Stegostoma tigrinum: one gene and its partners. The protein of the gene in region 3 purifies or fractionates together with the protein of the main gene of each other region. This does not show direct contact. Links are inferred from orthologs where the notes say so. Each region holds a gene or a part of one and is shown on either strand. Other genes may lie near its edges.

Region 1 (7,632 bases), on a different chromosome or scaffold from region 3:
AAGGGTAAAGGTGGAAGATTTTTTTTTACTGGGAAGCTTGTGAACAGTGGTGTTCCACAGGGTTCAGTGTTGAGACCCTTGCTCTTTGCAATGTATATTAACAACGTGGATGTGAATGAATATGGTATAATTAGTAAGTTTGCAGATGACATGAAAATTATTGGTGTTATTGGTGATGAGGAGGATAATCTTAGGCTACTGTCTGATATTGATCATGTGGTAAATTGGGTACAGCGATGGCAAATGGAATTTAATCTTGACAAGTGAGAAGTGATGCATTTTGGGAAGTCTAATAAGGGAAGAATAAGTACAATGAACAGTAGGTCCCTACAGAGGACTAATGAACAAAGGGACCTTGATGAATAAGCCTACAGATTCCTGAAAATGTCAGCACAGGTAAAAAAGGTGCTGAAGAAGGCATATGGGATGCTTGTCTTGATTAAGTGGGGTGTAGAATATAGGAGCAAGAAGTCTTGTTACAACTTTATAAAACATTGTTTAGGCCACAGATGAAATATTGTGTGCAGTTCTGGTTGCCACACTATTAGAACGGCATGACTGTATTGGAGATTCACCAGATGTTGCCTAGGATGAAATGTCTCATTTATGAGGAGAGACTGAATAGGCTGGGTTTATTTTCTTGAAGCAGAGGAAGCTGTGGGGGGGGGGGGGGGGGGGGGGGGGGTGCTGGGCGCGGGATCTGATTTGAAGTATACAAGATTATGAGAGGCATAGATAGGGCAGATTGTGAGAATCATTCCTCCACGCCAGACATGTCTAAGACCAGATAGCACAAGTTTAAGATGAGGAGCAAGTGGTTTAGAGGGGATCTGGGGAAAAAATGTTTTCACCCACAGGGTGGTAGAAATATGGAATGTACTACCTGAGTGGATGGCTGCGATGGGTAGGTGCGCAACATCTAAGAAGCATCTGGATGAGCACTTAAAATACCTCAACATAGTAGGCTATAGACCAATTCAGGGTAAATGGGTTTGGATAACTTGATATTTGTTGATTGGCATAGACATGGCAAGCTGAAGGGCCTCTTTCTATGCTGTATGACTCTATAACATCAAGGTTGTAGATTCTTGAATTTAAATTTACTTATTAGGAAAATGGTCAAAGTTTACCTTAGATTTAAAACAGTACAGTATTGTACAGTTCAAGTTATGGCATTGATAAGGTCCAAAGTCTAAAGTCTAAAAACTGGTTATATTAGTTAAAGATCATCACAGACACAACTCCAAGACATATCAAGATTCAGCTCCGATTTGCAATCAATTTCCAAACCCCTGTCAGAATCAAACTTAATTTTAATGTCCCTCCTTAATAACAGCCTGGTACTTTGTACAGGTCACAGAAAGAAATGCCACAAAAAGAAAACCAGATTTATGAAGCATTACCATCACCCATATTTCAACTTGAAAGAGTATCTTCAGCAGAAAGTAATTTCAGACAACAATATGAGACCATAGAAAAAGCAGAAACATTTGGCAAACTATAACTAGGTTGCTGTGTTTCAAAATACTATGTCCTGCCAATTAACTTTACAACTAATAATTTTATTCTTTTGTGTTTAGCAGGAAAAGTAAATCTATTTTTCCTGCAAATCGAACAATTCAGTTTAAGTCATGCTGTTTGAATTTTTTTAATATTACAATTCAGTTACACTACTAGCGCTGCACAGAATAAATACTTTTATCAACAATTGTCCCAGCAATACACTAAGGTCCAAATATTTTGAAGGTATGAGATGAAATCATATGCAACTTCAATTCAATTCATTTGTAGATCCACATTAAAAAGATATCATCTCAGTCAAGAACATCATTAAACCAGTGTATTTTCATCAAAATCCCATCTGGTCCATCAATGTGCTGTGGGAAAGAAATCTGCTAGCTTTGCCCAGTCTGGTTGTGACTCCAGCTCCACTCAATAATGGCAGTTTCTTAACTATCCTCTGAAACATAAACCTGATTATCAAAATTGACGCCGAAATATTTAAAGCAACTATCATCAGGAACTAAGATAATGGTCAAATTCACTCTGACTTTCCCTGTCTTCAGTTCTCTACTGAAACTGAAGCTTTTAACAAAAAAATTACCATGCTGTGTACAAACGTGAACATTTAAATCCAATAACAGCAGCAGAATCTACTAACTAAAGATATTTCATGCAGACAAGTACAAATCTATAATCTAATTTTCCCTTATTATAATTTGAGGACCTGTGTTAGCCAACTACTGCCGATTCAGCTGCATAACATCTGAGAAAATTGTGAACACTAGCATTCTTGGTTTGTAAAACGTGATCTCCTACAATGTTTCAGATTTGCCCTACATAAGTTGGCAAAATGAAATTGGTGTATAACACAAGGAGTTAAAGCTAAAATAGCTTACAATGTTTTATGCTGTCTCTCGTTTCAAAAACTGTTTGCAATCAACGCATCTCATTCTCGTTCATCAAGTTATCCCGCGAAAGCGCTGCACAGAAATCGCTAACAATTCCTTCAAATCAAGTGAAACTACTTTAAAATCTAGTCCCGATTTTCAGATCAACTCTTTAATTGGGCTCAACGTGGGGGAAAGGGGGCGGAACTATCACTTGAACAGAAACAAAACAAACATGCAACACTGGAGGACAAGGAGGTAGGGGAGACTTTAGCAAGTCGAAACTATCGTGTGTACCACGCAATTTGAAGGCTATGTCGGGCCACCAACAGAGGAAAGGGCACAAATCCTGGGTCGCTATACCACCGCAGCCAGATCCCAGCGTCTCCGCGATTAAAGGCCCAGTTCCGGCTGCAACACCCCGAGCGCTATTTACAAAAGCAGCTGCAACAAGAGAAGCCGGTCCCGATGAATGACTAAAAAGGCGGCCGCAGGGATTTACCTCCGAGTTTGAGTGTTTGAACGTATCTAGAAACAACAGCTCTGCCGCTGTGTCCGCCATGTCTCCTCATGCGTCACTTCCTTGCCAGATACTTCCGACTGCCCATGGCGCATGCCCGGTGAGTAGGATGTGGACGGTTGGGACGGAGGGGAGCGGTCGGAGCGAGTTGTGTAGTGGTGTTTACATCGTGTATCTCAGTCATGGTTTTAAAAACCCGAAAGGAAAGTGTCATCGGGAATGAGCGACAGTTAGCAAACTGTAATAATCGAACTCCCCTCATGTTCCAGGCTACAACCTACAAACAGGGAATTTATCTCTTCTTTTGGGATCCTTTGGAAGGCATTGGCTGATTATATGGATTGAAGTAATGTACTGTGCGAGGATTTGGAGTAGTAGGACAGGAAACTGGCAGTAAGTAATGACGGAACAAAAACAGAAGTTGCTAGGAAAGCTCAACAGGTCTGGCAGTATCTGTGAAGAAAAAAAAAATCAGAGTTAACGTTTCGGGTCCAGTGACCCTTCCTCAGAATAACGCTCGTTCAGGCACGATGGGTCGAATGGCCTCTCGCGCCCATCCTTGTGAAGGTGGTCGTTTCAGAGATAGTAGGAACTTGCAGGTGGTGAGTTGCCATGTTTTTGAACCACAGCTGTCCGTGTTCAGTAGGTACGCTGCACGCCCACCAATGATGCTGTGATTGAAGAAAGAAAGCAATATCCTTTGTCCCACATTGAAGTTGGCATATACCAGGATTCTCAGGGATCTTTCTGTTTAATATAGTATCAGCTCCCTTGTGTCAATACCACATTTTCATTGTATACAAAGTGTAGAGCTGGATGAACACAACAGGCCAAGCAGCATCTTCGGAGCACAAAAGCTAACGTTCCCATTATCTATGAATTAAGAGTTGATGGGCAGTTTAACTCTTCAAGTGCTGTATCATTCATGGCTTGTTTGATTGTAACTTCAACACTTCCCACCCACCCCCCCCACCCTGCCCATTCCTGTACCTTTTAACTCCCTCAGTTTGTCTTAATACATTGACTGCTGTTAAAGGAAGAGACTTTTAAAGCCTCACAGTTCTTTGAAAGGAAATATTTCTACTCACTTTTGTATTAAATTAAATGGTTAAAATGCCACCTCTACTCTCATCCACAAGAGGAAATATACTTTTGGAACCCATCCATTTAGGAATATAGGAACAGTGTAGCCAGTCACCCCATTCGGCTTGCCCCTACATTCAATGGCTGATCAAACACCTAAACCACCCTTACCATAACTGTACACCATTGGAAATCAGAACTGTTATCAATATCCACCTTAAATATGCTGAGCTTTCACAGCCTTGTTGGGCAAAGATTTCCAAAGGTTCGCAGCCCTCTAAGCAAAAAAAAGTGCTCTAGGTGTGGTCTCACGAATATCCATATTGAACAGACTAAAGGATAAGACCAGAAATACCAAAACTAGTATAAAAATGTCACATTTAAAGATGTCATATCTGACTTCATTAAGTATTCACTTCAAAATGGGTAACTTGTTAGCACAAATAGAAATAAATATGCCTGACTGGCACCTGTTAGTGAAGTGATTGCAAGGTGATCATGGCCATGACCTCAATATTAGGGGATATTTGGCATTTTAAAAATGCAGGTATCGAGGGAAAGATGGTGACAAAGCTTTTTTAGTTATGGATGTCATTAAAGTAAAATGTGACCTTAATTCAAAAGACGAAGTTGTAGTATAGTTTGGGTATGGCTCAAAATTTGGAAAGATAGAAGGTTAGTTGTGGGAGTAGTTTATTGGCCCCCAAACAGAGACTGTGAAACAGCACTGGGACAGAGCAAATAGGGAGTACAGGTATATGAGGCATATATAAAGGGTACTATAATGATTAGGGGTGACGTTAACCTGCAAGTATATTGGACAAATCAGATTGACAAAAGTAAGCAAGAAAGTGAGTTTTTAAGAGAATATCTGAGACATTTTCTTATAATGATACATTCTACAGCTAACTAGGAGCAGGCTGTTCTTGACTGGTAATGAACAATGAGACAGAATTAATCAGCAACATAATGGGAAAGGAGTTTCTTGGTGACTGTGATCAGAATAGAATTTCACATTCAGTTTGAAGCAATGAAGTTTGGTTCTAGGACCAGTGTTTTGAACATAAGTAAAGGTGACTAATTTGGATTTGAAGGGAGAACCTGCTAAAATAAACTGGAGGGCAGAGGAGATGCAGTGGCAGATTTAAATGATAAAGTGTGAAGCTCAATGAACACAGCAGGCCAAGCAGCATCTTAGGAGCACAAAAGCTGACGTTTCGGGCCTAGACCCTTCATCAGAGAGGGGGATGGGGAGAGGGTTCTGAAATAAATAGGGGGAGGTGGACGGAAGATGGAGAGAGGAGAGTATAGGTGGGGAGGTAGGGAGGGGATAGGTCAGTCCGGGGAGGACGGACAGGTCAAGGAGGCAGGATGAGGTTACTAGGTGGGAAATGGAGGTGCGGCTTAAGGTGGGAAGAGGGGATGGGTGAGAGGAAGGACAGGTTAGGGAGGTGGGGATGAGCTGGGCTGGTTTTGGGATGCAGTGGGGGGAGGGGAGATTTTGAAGCTTGTGAAGTCCACATTGATACCATTGGGCTGCAGGGTTCCCAAGCGGAATATGAGTTACTGTTCCTGCAACCGTCGGGTGGCATCATTGCAGCCCAATGGTATCAATGTGGACTTCACAAGCTTCAAAATCTCCCCTTCCCCTACTGCATCCCAAAACCAGCCCAGCTCGTCCCCACCTCCCTAACCTGTTCTTCCTCTCACCTATCCCCTCCAACCTCAAGTCGCACGTCCATTTCCCGCCTCCTTGACCTGTCTGTCCTCCCCAGACTGACCTATCCCCTGCCTACCTCTCCACATCTACTCTCCTCTCCACCCATCTCCTCCTCTATCCATCTTCGGTCCGCCTCCCCCTCTCTCCCTATTTATTTCAGAACCCTCTCCCCGTCCCCCTCTCTGATGAAGGGTCTAGGCCCAAAACATCAGCCTTTGTGCTCCTAAGATGCTGCTTGGCCTGATGTGTTCATCCAGCTCCACACTTTGTTATCTTGGATTCTCCAGCATCTGCAGTTCCCATTATTGCAGATTTAAATGAGATGTTTAAGAACACAGAGCAAATATTTATCCCAGTGAGAAAGAAAGACTGTTTGAGAAAGATGAATCATTGTGAGTAAATACGAAAGTTAAGCATAGTATCGAATTTAAAGGAACACGTTACATTTCTGCAAAGGTTGGCAGATTTTAAAGACCAGCAAAGAGTGCCTTTAAAAAGGGAGCAAATAAATGTAGCTGATGGTATAAAAACATTGTAGGAGTTTTTTTTAACTAATTTTTTAATTGGAAAATGAGAAACTAAAGCCAGTATTGGTCCTGCAGAGAGTCAGTCTAGAGATTTGATAGTGATAATGGATTACGGTAAAATGGTAGAGTCATTAAACAGGTATTTTGTATCTATCTAAGAAACTATCCATAGACACTTGAAATGGAGGAGTGGAAGACAAGGTGAAACTTAAAACAGTCGTCATCACCAGAACAAAGTGCTGAGAAAAATACAAAATCTAAAAAGTGACAGGTCCCTTTAAACTTTCCTGCCTGTACATGGACTTTGGAGGACATTGCATTGGAGGATGTTGTAATTTCTGGAACCAGATGTCAATGCATCTCCATGCCAGTTGGTGTGTGCAAAACTTCAAATGACTGGCAAATGCGGTGCTTGGAAGAAACATTGCTCAAGACATGATGGCATGCATCCTTGGGTTTTTTTTTAATAAAGTGGCTGCAAAAATAATAGAGGCATTAGTTATCATCTTTAACATTCCTTTGGTTCTTGAGGGATGTCAATGGATTGGAAAATAGCTCATGTAACACCATGAAGAAGAAAATCAAAAATAAATAACTATATTAAAAACAGTAAGTTGACTGTGTTTATCTCACCATAGATCCTGCTAGATTTGCTGAGTTTCCCCAGCATTTTCTGTTTTTATTTCAAATCTAAAGCATCTGCAGTACTTCACTTTTTTATTACTAGAATCTGCAGTTAAGTAGGTTATAGCAACACAGTTATGAAACAAGAATGAAATCAGGCAGAGTCAACATGTCTCTCTTAATTTCTGTGAGAGAAACCAGCAAAGTGTGTAAAGGGATTCCTGTGGATGTGGTGCACTTGGATTTCTGAGAGGCATTTGCTAAGGTGCCAAATCAAAGGTTACTGCAAAAAATAAGAGCTGGTGGTGTAAGTGGTAACATATTAGCACTATAAAGGATGATTGTCTAATAGGAAACAGAAAGTCAAGGATTTATTGTTGTTTTTGAATTGGCATTCGTAACAAGTGCAGTGCCACAGGAATCAATGCTGGGGACTCAGCTATTGACAATCAATGTCACTGAGTTGGATATGGGGACCAAATGTCTGATGGCAAAAGCATTTATAATTAATTCATGGATGTAGGCAGTGCTGACTAGATCAGGATTTATTGCCATCCCTAATTGCTCTGGACAAGGTGGTGGTGGTGTGCTGCTGTCTTGAAATAAAAACAGGAAAATAGGAGCAGGACATTTGGCTCTGCCATTTGATATAATCATGGCTGATCACCCAGCTCAATATCCTGTTAACTGTTTCTCCCTATACCTTTTGATACCTTTAGCCCTGACAACTATATATAACTACTTGAAAATATTCAACATTTTGGCCTC
Region 2 (7,515 bases), on a different chromosome or scaffold from region 3:
CCTGGGTCCCTAGCACTGTGAGGCAGCAGTGCTAACCACTGAGCCACCATGCTCTCTACTAGATAATGTTATTTATTAAAACATTATACACCATCTTCAGAAAGTGGTCCTCTGACATGTAGGATTAGTCCTGTGACCCTTCTCTGCTTGAATGTTTCCCACTCATCTTTCTGACCAAAGCTAAACACAACCTTCAACGTATGGTATGAGTGGAGTGTGTTAGCTAAAATTTTAGCTTCATGTTTATACCATTTCATTTGGCAGTGATATTCAGTATTTTGTGCCCTTTCTTCTTGATTGCTGCTCTGCAAATGACTGGATATTGTAACTGTTGATTCTCATATCATTGCTAGATATTGATCACTCTTTCTCCCAGCTAGCCCATTACCCAATTTTAAGAAAATTATAGTACAGAGATAAGTTAGTCCAATGCTAATAATCTCATATTTCATCTTTTTTGTGTCAAACCTGCCAAGAATTTCCATTAATTCTCTTCTTTGTTACTTACAACTAATTCCTTATCCACCTCTAAGATTTCCCCAAGATACCCATCCTTTTAAGGTGATATAGCAGTATTCCAACCATAGTTCAACCAAGGTGTTTGGCTTTCTGAAAGGATGGTACTCGGTATTACAGGACTTTCCATTATCAATTTGGGATATGTCACAAAGTTTCGAGGGGAAAGATTGCTTCTGGATGAACAGGTCTGGACAAACAAACAAATTTATTTAATCATTCTCTTGAAAATAGTTATTTTATTATTCAAATGTTTTTTGGATCACTAAATTACATTTGATGACATTTAATTAATATCATAAAATTTAACCTTGGAATTTAAATCTTTCAACACCTGTTTTTATGTGGTCCGGGATCAACAACAGCCTGTGAACAGAGTTGCTACAACAATAAAAGAAATAGACAATATTTGTACAGGTACTTCCAAAATATTTGAGTAATTTTCAAAAACTCCATTCAGAGAAATCAACATCTCAGCATAGAACAATTACTGAAAACAGCAGCAACAGAACAATGTAAGTAAGTGTGGATCTTAGGCATATCCTCATTGAGTATTACCTCAATTAATGAAAAATAAGTCACTTCTATTTTGGCAAAATTGAGGCACAAAAATAATGGGTTAAGTGGTCAGAAGGAAGTAAACATCTGCTGACATTCTATGTGCATGAGGCATTACCACTGTAGATTGTGATTGTTTCCAGCATGAATTATTGTGAGCATGTTTGGTACTTTCTGGAGAAAAGCCAAAGAACAACTTGTACCTTACCTGTCAATCACCAACTCAAATAGCACAATATGAGAATGCTGTGTGAACTCTGGGTCATCTTCTACATAATCAAAACGGTTCAATAAAGTAACAAGATCCAAATCACATGATGTTTTATCTGGAAACTTCCATGATGGATAGCGAACTGCACCAACTCGTGAAAATACATCTATGATTATCCCTTGTACATCTGTGACATCCTTGCGCAAACCATCCAAACAGTTTTGATTTCCTAAAAGTAGTGTCATTTTAATGGCCTTGAAATCAGAATATGAAATGCACCTTCTTATGAAAATTGAAACTGCTATTTCTGTATAAAGTATCTGAGCCTGTAATAATAACTCCACGAGGGCAATTTATCTGCAAGAAATAGAAAATAATTAGATTAAGAAAGTTGATTCAACGATTTTAAGCAAATATCACCTTTAAGTTGTAATTTAATGTAAATACAGTATTGTTTACTTTGTACTAACCTTATAAAATATCTGCTACCAGATTAAAAATATTTTCACACGACTTAATGCACAATATGATCTACAAATTATTGCAAGTATAAGTCTACATACAAAGCAGTAATATTTAATATGTTGGCAGTTGCTGTCAAAAGAATTGACAGAATTTTACACGAACCACAGTGATAATGAACGTTCATAGTTTTCCAGTAGTGCTGGTTTACTAATATCACACATGACAATAAAAATATCTGCCCAACAGCCATTACTACTAATATTTATGTTTCCTAAATGAAAGAATTAGGCATGGAATTCAATTTTTGGGTAATTTAAAAAATTATTTCCTGAAGTTAATAGTTGTTTATTAACAATAGGATTTAATGGAACTGATGGAGGGGGAAAATGCAAGTCCCTTACACCATGCTTTATATGCAGAAATTGCAACCATTCTAACAGCTTTCTGATTTATAATTCTGCAGTAGAATGTTGTATTGGAGTAATCACAATTCTGTAGCCTTGATTGAGAACAAAACCAACTACTGTTATAGATACAAAAGCATCTTGGTAATTTCTGCATCTTGCATAAATACTTAAAAAGATCCTTCTTTACATTATTTTTCTGGAGGAATTCAGTGGAAGGAGGGATGACAGAGGAAATTAGATAAGGCTCATTATTCATCGTCCAAGAAGTTGAAGTAGTTGTTTGGGGCTGACAAAGAGAAGAAAAGATTATATTTGGCAGCAGTGTCTTCTATTGTTTAAAAAAATCTGCTCACACGATGAAAGAGTCAGTTGGACGAAGAATCAACAGTTAGCATGTTCATGGGCCTTCTTGGGATTCAAATACTAGGTCGTATAGGTTTAAGGTGAGGGGGCCAAGTTTAAAGGAGATATGCGAGGCAAATTTTTATTTTTACACAGTGGGTGGTGCGTGCCTGGAATGCACTGCAAAGAAGAGTGGTTAAGCAGACACAACAGCACTGTGTAAGAGGCATTTAGACAGACACATGAACAGGCAGGGAGTAGAGGGCTAAAGACTATGTGCAGACAGATGAGAATAGTTTAGAACAGCATCATGGTCAGCACAGACATGTTGAGGCAAAGAGCCTGTTTCAGTGTTGCACAGTTCTATGTTCTATCTTCCGACATCAGGAAAGATGGACCAAAAGCAGCATTTCCCAAGTCAATTTGTCCAGCATCATGACTGATCAATTAAAACTAGCTCGATGAGGTAAGACATGTTGTTCATAGCCTGACACCAGGCTCCTGAAGCAACTGCTCTACTCAGAACTTGCTTATAAGAACATAGGAACAGGAGTAGTCCTTTGAACTTGATCCACCATTCAATGAGACATGGCTGATCTGTGGCCTAAATTCCCACATACCTATCTTTGGTCCACATCCCATTAATACCTTTGCTTAACAAAAATGTATCTACCTCAGATTTAAAATTGGCTACTGATTTAACATCAATTACTGTCTGCAGAAGAGTTCTAAACCTCTATCACCCTCTGTGTGTCTAGACGTGCTTCCTAACACCTCTCCTGAATAGCCTGCCCCTAACTTTTAGACTACATACTCCTTGTTTGAAAATTGCCAGCCAGCGGAAATAGTTTACCTTATCTATTCTGTTGCAAAAGGAAGACTGTGGAAATGCTTTAGGCAGTCCTTAAAACACCCTTAAAGAGGTCAAACATTCCCCTCGACCTGGCTTGTGTGGGAACCAAAATAAGAAGATTCATTCAGGAAATCGCTGAACACATGCAGAAACCTTGTTGAGACGAAGTCAAGGTTTTGGGTAAAACCTCCAAACGATTCCTGCACCCCCAGGCAGTCAGTCAGTCAGTCAAACAGCACCAACTTTGCCCCACATGTAACAGACTTTGCAAATGGGTGCATTGGACTGCTTGGACATTTGAGAACCAATGGAAGTGAGTCAGCATCAGTCCCAAAGCACTGCCTCAGATGGAATAGTATCTAGAGGGGAGGTTGGGGGAAGGGACATTGCGGTGGAAGGAAGAAGCACCTTGAGGAAGTTTAAGGGAAAAGCACTTCAGGAAGGAGAAGGAAACCTCAAGCAGGAGGGGGATGGAGGACGAATCACCTCGAGGAAGGGGAGGGAAACACATCCTCAGAGGGCGGGTGTGGAGAAGAGGAGCACCCCCAACGGACGTGTTTGGTCATGGTGGGGGGGGACGGGGGGGACGGCTGCATTTCAAAACCTCAAAGCACCCACGCCCCCCTCCGCATCCCACTGAGCCGAAATTTGCCCCATATTGAATAAGCAATGAATCATTCATTTGTTAGCACCAGGGTTCCAAGCCCAAGATATATCGCGGCGGCAAGAAGTGGCATGATGGGAATACGCTGGACAAATAATTTTAGGTATGAAGTCCTAGAATCAAGTTTCACCGACTCCAAAGGTGCGCCTGATGAGGTTGATTCAAACTTCGTCACTGAGCCTGTACCTACCTGCGATTGACCGTTAGCTTCACTCCGGCTGTTGACTACGTGCTGTCATGGACGCACGTAACGTAACTGTAACGTCATCGTGCGTTTACGTACCTGCTCGTCATAAGACGTAAGGACTGTGCCAGGCAAACTAACAACAAACACGAGACTTTACCGTTCAAACATAATAAAAACAGTATTATAAGAAAAGTAGTGAATAATTAAACGGTGGTGAGAGATGGAAACCGAATTAAATGTGTGGGAAGAACTTTTATGTTATGTGCATATCCCATTTCCCCCCCCCCATGAAGAGGTGGATGGTGCGGGCCGTAGCCGCCATCTTGTTTAGCCCGAGTTTTGTTCGCGGAACGGCTGGGGTGGGGGATTGCACTTCTAAACCCTGTTCGGTGCCGAAGCCATGCCGGCCGGACCTGTACAGGCGTTGCCGCCACCTCAGACTGAAAATAACCAGGTGGGTTTTAAAACAGAAAGAGGTTTCAAAAAAAAACCTTGGCCCGGTGTGGTGCCCCCCCCCCCCCCCCATCCATGCCAGAATAAGAGAAAACTGAGGCCTCCAAACCGCAGGCTCTGGGCCTGGAACTCGCATATTGGTCTTGGATCCCCGGATTCCGAGCTCGTGGCTATTATCCTTTCTCCAGGCTGTATTATCTGTTGGTTATGCAAGCTGAGTCCTGGAAAAATCTGTCAGGCGCACGATCAAATAATTCACACAAAATTAAATGCGAAAGAACTGTGGATGTTGTAAATCGGGGACAAAAACAAAGTTGCTGCAAAAGCTCAGCGGGTTTGGCAGCATCTGTGAAGGAAAAAAAGCGTTAATGTTTCTGATCCGGTGACTCTTCCTCCAAATGTGTGTAAATAATCCACACGTTGGCGGAATGTTAGTCTGATTTATCACAAGTGTCCGGTCGTTCAGAGGCAACAAGGGCTGTGTTTATCATGCATTAAAATCGGCCGTGTTGTCAGCCTGCAATCCGGATGGTTATACGTTACTTAAATAAATCCCTTCGTCCAGCCTGCACACATTCGTAAACAGTTGATAATGGGAAATACGATACTTTGAAGTGCTGAATATTGTAAAACAGCTTATGTTAAAAGACTTTAGTATTACAACTATTACTGATTACTTTTATAGCATTATGGTATTGTCATTAAAGTAGGTGCGGATAAAAGTTTATCTGTCAGTTGGACGGAGAAGATGGAGGTGAACAAAGTACACTACAGGGCACCTAAATTGTAGTCAAATTGTATATTCTCGAGTTCATATGGTCCAGATGTGCTCGATCCCAGTACAACAGTAAATAATTAGCATGGATCTTTACGGAACTAACAAGTTTTCATTTGCCCAATACAGTATAGGTAGAAAAACTGAAAAGAATGCACGTGTTCCAAGTCCAAAAATCTTAGGCAAAAAAATCCAAAAAGTAATATTGTTTGCTTTGCGGAGGGGTGATGGCAATTTATGATGAGTTAAAATTGTGCAGTCTACCATCACAAAGCACTGAAATATACTTTGCTGCTTGCCCAGGTAGACCACCTTTGTAGCATATTGACTGTAATGATATCTTCAGCTAACTAGGGAGAATTCTGTACCCCTTTGGCAGCTGTAATCCATCAATGAGACAGATTAGCATAGTGCTTTGGAGTGCTGTGCACTTGTCTGGTTTTAGTTTTTGCAGTATTTGAAAATGTTGTTCTCAGATATGTGATTTTGGAGCTGTATTAACCTGTTTACTCCAGTCCAGACCCCAGCATGATGATTGGACAACTGGTATGTCAAAACAGTTGGGGAGGTAGCGACTTCCTATAATTTACCTCAACGGCTTGGTCATCAGCATAAATTGTGCTGAAGTATATGTGCTGTTGCCATCCTAACATAGCATGAGTGTTTTTATTTCAACGAATGATGTGTTTTGGCGGTTAATTGGAACAAAAGTGTCATTTCTACAATCTGATTCTGTCATCTGCAGACATGAACTTATGATTATGATAATTTTTAAAGTCATTAAGCTGCTTAAAGATGATTAAGAATTTAGTGACACTTGTTTAATTTTCTTTTAAAGTTGCCAGAAGAAACAAAAGATGAATCTGCAACATCCAAACCCATTGTTGGTATTATTTATCCTCCTCCTGAAGTCAGAAACATCGTAGATAAGACTGCAAGTTTTGTAGCGAGGTGAGTGCTAAATTCCAACAACTGCATGTTGTATTTGCTATACTAAACCCTTTGAGTTTAAAAGTGCAAATCATTTTGCTTTGATTAGGAATGGTCCTGAATTTGAAGCTCGAATCCGTCAAAATGAGATAAACAACTCCAAGTTTAACTTCTTGAATCCAAATGATCCTTACCATGCATATTACCGGCACAAGGTTAATGAGTTCAAGGAGGGGAAAGGACAAGAACCTTCAGCTGCTATACCGAAGGTTATGCAGCAGCAGCAGCAGCAACAACAGCTGCCGCAGAAGGTGAGTAATTTGACGGTAATGATAGTTTGTAATTATGTAAATACTTCTTAACAGATAAATGTCTTGAAACATTTCACATGAGTATTAATAAATGAAATTTGACACTGAATATTCTGAGTAAATATCAGGATGGCTAATCGACAACTTGATCAAAAAGGAGGATTTTGGGGAGCATCTCAAGGGAAAAGAGAGCATTTAAGGCAGTGGCTTACAGAGGGAATTCCATACTTATAGCCTTAGCAATGAAAACATGGCTGTGGAAGGTGGAGTAATTAAGATTAGGAAAAGGAGGACAGAATTGAAGACACAGATTTTGGAGGGTGTAATGCTGTTAGAATCCTCTGAAATGGGAGGGGTGACTCCATGAAGTTATGGTGTAAATTTTATATGAAAACTAAAAATGCCGTAATTACTCAACAACACTGGCAGTATCTATGGAGAAGGAAGAAAGATTTAACATTTCAGTTCTGACTTTGAACCACCAAATTTTTATTACAATGGAGAGTGCAGGAGGGCATGCCATAAGCAGCACCAGGCATACCTAAAAATGAGGTGTCAACCTGGCAAAGCTACCAAACAGCATGAGCAGCAAGTGATAGACAGAGTTTTGTGACCCCGCAATCAATATATTAGATCTAAGCTCTGAAATCCTGCCACTTGACATCATGAATTGAGATGGACAACCAAACAACTCACTGGAGGTGGAAGCTCCATGAATATCCCCATCCTCAATGATGGAACAGCCCAGCACGTCCGTGCAAAAGATAAGGCTAAAGCATTCACAGCAGTCTTTAGCCAGAAGTGACAAGTGGATGATCTGTCTCGGTTTCCTTCAGTGCCCCC
Region 3 (7,011 bases):
CACAACCCCTTTAATAGGCTTCCCCTTACTGTTTAAAGAAAACAGTCGATTTCAGCTGTAATTATATTTTATGACCCAGTCTCTATAGCATAAGAATTCCATATATTCATTAACCTTGGAGAAGTTCTTCCTACTTCTGCCCTAACTAGGCAACTCCTTACTCTGTGATTGTGCCTTTTGGTCCAAATCACTTGAATACAGAAAACAAAATTTTCACATCTACCTTACATGCCCAAGAACCTTATATGCAGTTACCTAGTTTATCTTTCTCTCTTTTCTAAAATAACTGAGGGACACTTGTAATTGTCCAGTCCAAAGGTACAATTCTCAAACTAAACTGAATCTGTGGCATTTCTAAGAATAAAACTGGAACAATACAAATTTCAATTGATCTCCATTCCCGTACCTTGTCCTCATCTTTTGTTTTGATCCATTTGTGGATCAATTTCAAAGGAAAATTTTTAACAAGAGTTATCTTCCTTCATGCATATCCAAATTACAGTACTTCTGACATCACATGTAGGACTGATAGTTACAACAATGCATTAGAAATACACCGAGTACCAGCATTTACACAAATTTGGACAGAAAATTCAAACATTTCAACTAGATTCAGCACCTGCAACAGTCCACAATACTCCAGTACTGTACTACCTTGAGACCATTTAGAAACACAAATACATTTTAAATCAAGAAAGGTCTCAGAGATACTAAGAACTGCCAATGCTGGAGTCAGAGATAACACAGTATGGAGCCGGAGCAGCACTGCAGGCCAGGCAGTATCAGAGGGGCAGGAAAGTTAACGTTTCGGGTTGGGCCCCTTCACAGGCTCCATACTGTGTTATCTCTTAATCAAGAACAGTGGGGCTTTGCTAAAAATAGGCAAAAGGTTTCAAAAATCAAGACATGTAATCAGCCGGGGTCCACCAGGAGGATGATAATACATCAGTTCCTCTACGTCCATTGTCCTACAAGTCCATTGTTTCCACTGTAACTCAAAAACACTATTCTCTAGGTAGTAGATACTATCTTAAATCAGGACACACAGTTCCTGAAGTATCTCAATAATTGCACAGGAGCTCTACAGAGGACAAATTTAAATACTGCTGGACAAGAGGAGTTATGGCATTCACTCAAGGCAGGGGGACAACTTTACAAATCTATAACGGCATGAGATCAACTCAGCTTTGGGACTAGAGATAGTTTTGCAGTCAGAACGAACAATAAGTCATGACTGCAGAGCCAACTGCTAGATTTAACAGATCCACATGAGTAAGCTCTACATCATAATATTGATTTGGGTGCAGGTTGTTTTGGGCAGGACAATTACATTATTGTTTCCCCAAATCCCTCGACTGCCTCCTCCCTCTCTCTCTCAAGGATGGAGGATGTTAATCATTCTATGGGTGCAGTTTATCCCCACCATCTTGCATAACTGCGCCTTTTCAATGCCTAGACAGTTGGTACTGACAAGTTTTCTGAATGTGTAGCATTATAGTTCGGCCAGGTTCTCTCTCTACTCAAGCACTAGCATTAGTTAGAGGACAGTTATCAAATTAGCCAATGCTGAGAATATTGGCTGATGTTTCCCATGTGTTAAGGTGTTTTAAAGGCCAACTGTCTCAAACTTGACCTAAACGAGAAAAGGTATTCAACCCAGACTGGAAATGTAACCTGGATCATCTTGGTTTATACAGAGCAATAGCACACCAAGCAGTACATTTACCCAGTGTGCAAATTGAGAGAGGCAGGTAATAAGGGAATGCCACTTAGATCCAAGACGAGATTTTTTTTTAAAACACAGAGTTCTGAACTTTTGGAATTCTATGCCCAGAGGTCAGCACAGGCCCAGTTTTAAATATGTTTAAGAGACTGATAGATTTGATTACCTGTAATATACAGGATTACGGAGATGGGGTGGGGAAAAAGGCATTCATGTGTTCGACCAGCCACGATTACACTGAATGGCAGGGCAGGCTTGACAGGCTGAATGACCAACTCCTGTTGCGATATAATCCTGAATCTACAAATAAGTCCAAAATGATGTTCATTTTTTTTGCGCAAGTACATGCCTGCACTTCAAAATTAAGCAATCTGTAGCATGCATAAGATTTATAGATGGTTCTGCAGAATTTCACACTTCAGGGTAAATGACTTTCGACAGGAAGGATCTTGTAACCTGTTGCTTTACTTGCTCACTTTCCTATAAGAGAGTCTTCAATCAACCGAGGAATCCTTGGGATCCTCGTAAATTTTCCCAAATTACCCGATCCGCGCAGGGTTACTGGAAACTGAAATCTGGCGATTTGATTCAGTTGAGAACCAATCTTTTAACTCGGGGTGGGGGAACGGCATCAACTGGGATGCACACCTCAGACTGCAACACACTGCAGATCAGAGACAAGGCCATTTACAGGGATCAGTTTGCACACAAGGCCAATTGGGGACATGTGACATGAGGTATCAGCACTGGCACGGGAGGACAGAGAGAAGGCAAAAGGGCCTGCTTGGTAAAGGCAGCCCTAAAGGGCCGCCCACACCAATCCCCCGCCTCAACAACCTCAGGCTCCAGATGCATCGTAGCCGGCTCCTCGCTCGCTGTTATTGGCGCAGAGCGGGATCCCGGGTGTGGGGGCCCTCTACTACCTCAGCAGCTCCGACAAAGCCAAGACAACAACGGGAACTGCAATTCCTGACCCAGCTTCCCGCCCATGAGGAGCCCGAGGCCTAAAGGCCGAGTGCGGGGCTACCGCCAGTAAGAGGCCGAGGCCTACGATTTGTGTGCGCGAGCGAGTGAGCGGGGGGGGGGGGTGGGAGTTAGAGTAATCGCCGCTTCCCCTACACCCACCCCCCCCCGCCCGAGGACTCACCTGCACTTTAGTAGGCGGTATGCCGCAATGGGGGCCAAGCCGAGCGGGGCCGGGCCGCGCTCTGAGCGAGGGAACGGCGAGAGCGCGAGGCCGGGCCCGAGGCTGCAGCGAGCGAGCGCGAGCCGGGCAGCTCCGCCATTAGCGCCCGCCCATTGGCCGGGAGGAGTCAGCTGACTGTACGTGCCCCCCCCCCCACGACCTCGGGACACGCCCCCTTCCTCAGCCCAGGGAAAGGAAGAACCGAATGGCCACACGCCCGCTTGGACCCGGAGCCCGTTAGGGACGAACACAACCGCAGGCGCTGGAATCCAGGTAGACAAACAGGGGGCTGGGAGAAAGGAGCGGTCAGTGTTTTGGGTTTTACCCCCGCCCCCCCCCGCGTCCAGTCCTGAAGACAGCGAATGGCCGAAACGTTCACTGCTCCTTGGCCTGCTGTGTTCTTGTCCGGCCCTCGCCCGCCCCCGGGGATAACGGGAACTGCAGATGCTGGAGAATCAGAGATAACAAAGTGTGGGGCTGGATGGCTGGCGTTTCGGGCCTAGACCCTTGGTCAGAAAAGCTTCTTGATGAAGGCTCTGGGCCTGAAACGTCAGCTTTTGTGTTCATCCAGCCCCTCGCCTTGTTATCTCACCGGTTCCCGAGGCCTGTCCGGCCGTCAGCGGGAAATATTCAAACAGGGACCGCCTTTGCAACCAGTTCATTGGGCACATTCAGTCAGCTGATCTGGGACTTGAGTGAATGTGAGGTTGTGGGTTTCGGGGATTGTTGCCGCTGTTCAATGTCCACGGACGGCGAGGTATCTGTACCAAGCCCTGTCGGGAGGGGAATCGCTATGCCATGCCCGTACTTCATACAACTGTACAGCTCCGGAACAGGCCGTTCGGCCCACGAGATTGTGAGGAACATGACACTAAATTAAACCAATGCGCTTGGTACAAATCCCCGCATTCCTACCAAATTCGTGTGTTTGTCTAAAAATCCCTTAAATGCCCTTTATCGTATCTGCCTCCACCACCACCCCCACCAGCGCGTTCCAGAGTCCTACCACTCCATGTGTATAAAAAAAACTTGCCCCTCACATCTGTTTTGAAAATTCCCCCGTCATCTTAAATGCATGCCCCCAATAATAAAAATTTCAACTCTGAGAAATAGATTCTGACCGTCGACACACTCTATGCATCTCATAATTTTATAGATTTCTATCAAGTCTTTCCTCAGCCTCCACTGCTGCAGTGAAAACAGCCCGAGTTTTTTTTAACCCTCTCTTTGTCAGGTGAACTTGGATGTCAGATGAATGAGTGGCGCTCTGAAAGCGTTAGGGTTAGGTTTTGTCGTGTGACTTCTGACCCTGTCCACCCCAGTGCAATGCCAGCACCTCCACATCGTGTCCCTAATTAGGCTATACTTTTCCAAATGCATATAAATCCTATCTGTAAGAAATCTCGAGTAAAAAGGTTCCCAAACAGTGTGAGACTCAATGGTCTATAGTTTCCTGAATGATCCCTATTTCTCTTGAACGAACATTAGCTACTTGCTAGTCCTCCAGGAGCCCTCCAGTGGCTAATGAGGAGACAAAGATCTTGGTCAAGGCCCCCAGAAATCTCCCCTGTTGCCTCTTTCAATTACCTGGGTATTTACCATCAAGCCCTGGGGACACATCCACCTTAATGCTCTTCAAGAAACTCAAACTGCTTCTTTCTTGTCCTCAAAATTCCCTGGTATATGAGCATGCTCCACACTAATCTCACTATTTTCCATTTCCTTCTCCTGGGTGAATACTGATCCTAAGTACTCATTTAGGATCTTGCCCACATTCTCTACCTCCAAGCACAAGTTCCCTCCTTTATCCTTGAGTGACCCTGCCTCCTCCCAAGTTATCCTCTTGTTTTTAATGTTTGTACAGAATGCCTTGAGATTCTCTTTAGCCCTACTTGCCAAGGTCATTTCATTGCCTCTTGCCGCTCTTCTCATTCTCTGTTTGATTTCCTTTCCTGCTTTCTTTGTATTCTTCATGGGCCCTGTCCTATTTTAGCTTCCTAATCCTTACATATGCTTCCTTTTTTCCTTTTAACTAAATTCTCAATCTCCCTTGTCATCCAATGGTCCCTTACCTTGCCATCCTTCTCCTTCCTCCTTACTGGAATGTGCTGATCTGTGATTGCCTGATAACAGGTCCTCCCAATTAACACTCCCTAACTCCTGCCTAATATTTTCCCTCCCCGAATTCAGTGCCTTCCCACAAGGTCCTGACTTATTCATAGCTACAAAAACAGAAATTACTGGTAAAGCTCAGCAGTTCTGGCAGCATCTGTGAGGATAAATCGTCAGAACTGTGGGAGGGTCACTTGACCCGAATGGGAACTCTGATTTCTTTCCACGGATGCTGCCAGACCTGCTGAGCTTTACCAGCAACTTCTGTTTTCCTTTCTGATTTGTATCATTTGCCATCCTTTCCATTTTTACTTATTCATATTTATCCTAAAACTTAAGGAGTTGTGATCACTGTTTCCAAAATGCTCTTCCACTGAAAGGCTGTCACCTGGCCAGACTCATTAGCCAAACAAGGTCAAGTATGACCCTTCCTCTAGTTAGGCTATGTACATACTGTTTCAGAGAACATAGAAAAGTACAGGCCCTTTGGCCCACGATGTTGTGCCGTGGAATAATCCTAATCCAAAAATAAAATAACCTAACCTACACTCCCCTCAATTCACTGCTGTCCATGTGCATGTCCAGCAGTCGCTTAAATGTTACTAATGACTCTGCTTCCACGACTTCCACTGGCAAAGTATTCCATGCACTCACAAACCCCTTTGGATGCACTTAACAATTCTGCCCAGTCGAAGTCTCTTGCTCTAAGGGAGGCTCAGTCATTATTAGGGAAGTTAAAGTCATCACTATGACAGCCGTGTTGTTGTATCTTTCCATAATTTTCCTGCATACTTGATCCTCAATGTCTTGGTGGCTGTTGTATTAATCCTATTGGAGTGATTGCACCCTTCTTATTTTTGAGCTCTACCTGTATTGCCTCAGTGGATGTGCCCTCCAGCATGTCCCCTCTGAGTGCAGATGTGACTTTCTCCCTGATTAGTGATGCAACTGCACCTCTTTCACCTTCCTTTTCATCTCATCTAAAACAACAAAACCTGAAAATTTGAGTAACCACTCCTGTCACTCGTTAAACTGAGTCTCTATTGGTGACAACATCATAGTCCCATGTAGTGATCCAAGCTTTAAGCGCCCCAGCCTTACCTGTAATACTCCGTGTGATGAAATAAACACACTTCAGCCCATTAGTACCATCGTGCCTGCCCTTTCTTTCTGATTCACAGGTCCTAACATCTATCTTCCCCTCAATTCCTCCACTTGCTGACCTGCCGCTCTGGTTCCAATGGATCAGATCCAAGCTCGAAGTCCTGCCATATCCTGTCTTGAATGGTGATAAGACAATTGCAGAATTCAGTGGAGGAGAAGGTTGTACTAATGTTCCCATCCTCAATGATGGAAGGGCCCAACACATTAGCACAAAGGATTAGGATGCAGCTACAATTGCCAAGTGGACAATCCATCTCTGCCTTCACCAGTGGTCACCCGCATCACCAATGTCCATCTTCAGCCAATTTGATTTACTCCATGTGATATCAAGAAATGGTTGGAGGAACTGGATGCTGCAAAGACTGTGGGCCCTGACAACATCCAAGCAATAGTACTGAAAACTTGTGCTCCAGAACGTGCCACTCCCCTAGTCAAGCTATTATTTGTATTCCAGTACAATTACAATACTAGCATCTACTCAACAATATGGAAAATTGCCTAGGTATGTCTGTACATAAGAAGCAGAACAAATCCAACCTGGCCAATTACCGGCCCATCAGTGTACTATCAATCATCAGTAAAGTGATGGAAGGTGTCACTAACAGTACTATCAAGCAACACCTGCTCAGTGATGAGTTCTGCCAGGGCCACTCAGCTCCTGCCCTCATTACAGCCTAGGTTCAAAAAGAGCTAAATTCCAGGGGTGAGGTGTAAATGACAGCCCTTTTCATCAAAACCACATTTAACCAATTATGACATCCAGGAGGTTTGGAAAAACAGGAATCATTGGCTATCAGGTGAAAACTCTGCTGGTTGAAGTCATACC

The links. The genes of interacting proteins can lie anywhere in the genome.
Region 1: the proteins of zc3h18 (region 3) and virma purify together in Homo sapiens (affinity purification with mass spectrometry; 3 studies listed by BioGRID and IntAct, counting the BioPlex papers as one, with this or other methods). This does not show direct contact. The link is inferred for Stegostoma tigrinum from reciprocal best matches to the Homo sapiens genes ZC3H18 and VIRMA.
Region 2: the proteins of zc3h18 (region 3) and sf3a1 purify together in Homo sapiens (affinity purification with mass spectrometry; 3 studies listed by BioGRID and IntAct, with this or other methods). This does not show direct contact. The link is inferred for Stegostoma tigrinum from reciprocal best matches to the Homo sapiens genes ZC3H18 and SF3A1.

What each region holds. Positions count from the first base shown.
Region 1 is NC_081358.1:91,435,415-91,443,046, forward strand, and holds the start of virma (protein virilizer homolog), read right to left. Parts: upstream 3,004-7,632; 5' UTR 2,953-3,003; coding exon 2,893-2,952; intron 1-2,892. UniProt on the Homo sapiens protein: Associated component of the WMM complex, a complex that mediates N6-methyladenosine (m6A) methylation of RNAs, a modification that plays a role in the efficiency of mRNA splicing and RNA processing.
Region 2 is NC_081379.1:23,031,517-23,039,031, forward strand, and holds the start of sf3a1 (splicing factor 3A subunit 1), read left to right. Parts: upstream 1-4,512; 5' UTR 4,513-4,603; coding exon 4,604-4,657; intron 4,658-6,269; coding exon 6,270-6,382; intron 6,383-6,470; coding exon 6,471-6,672; intron 6,673-7,515. Other genes in the region: ccdc157 (coiled-coil domain-containing protein 157), read right to left, coding at 1,283-1,530. UniProt on the Homo sapiens protein: Component of the 17S U2 SnRNP complex of the spliceosome, a large ribonucleoprotein complex that removes introns from transcribed pre-mRNAs.
Region 3 is NC_081369.1:66,842,980-66,849,990, forward strand, and holds the start of zc3h18 (zinc finger CCCH domain-containing protein 18), read right to left. Parts: upstream 3,017-7,011; 5' UTR 2,871-3,016; intron 2,024-2,870; exon of another isoform or gene 1,890-2,023; intron 1-1,889.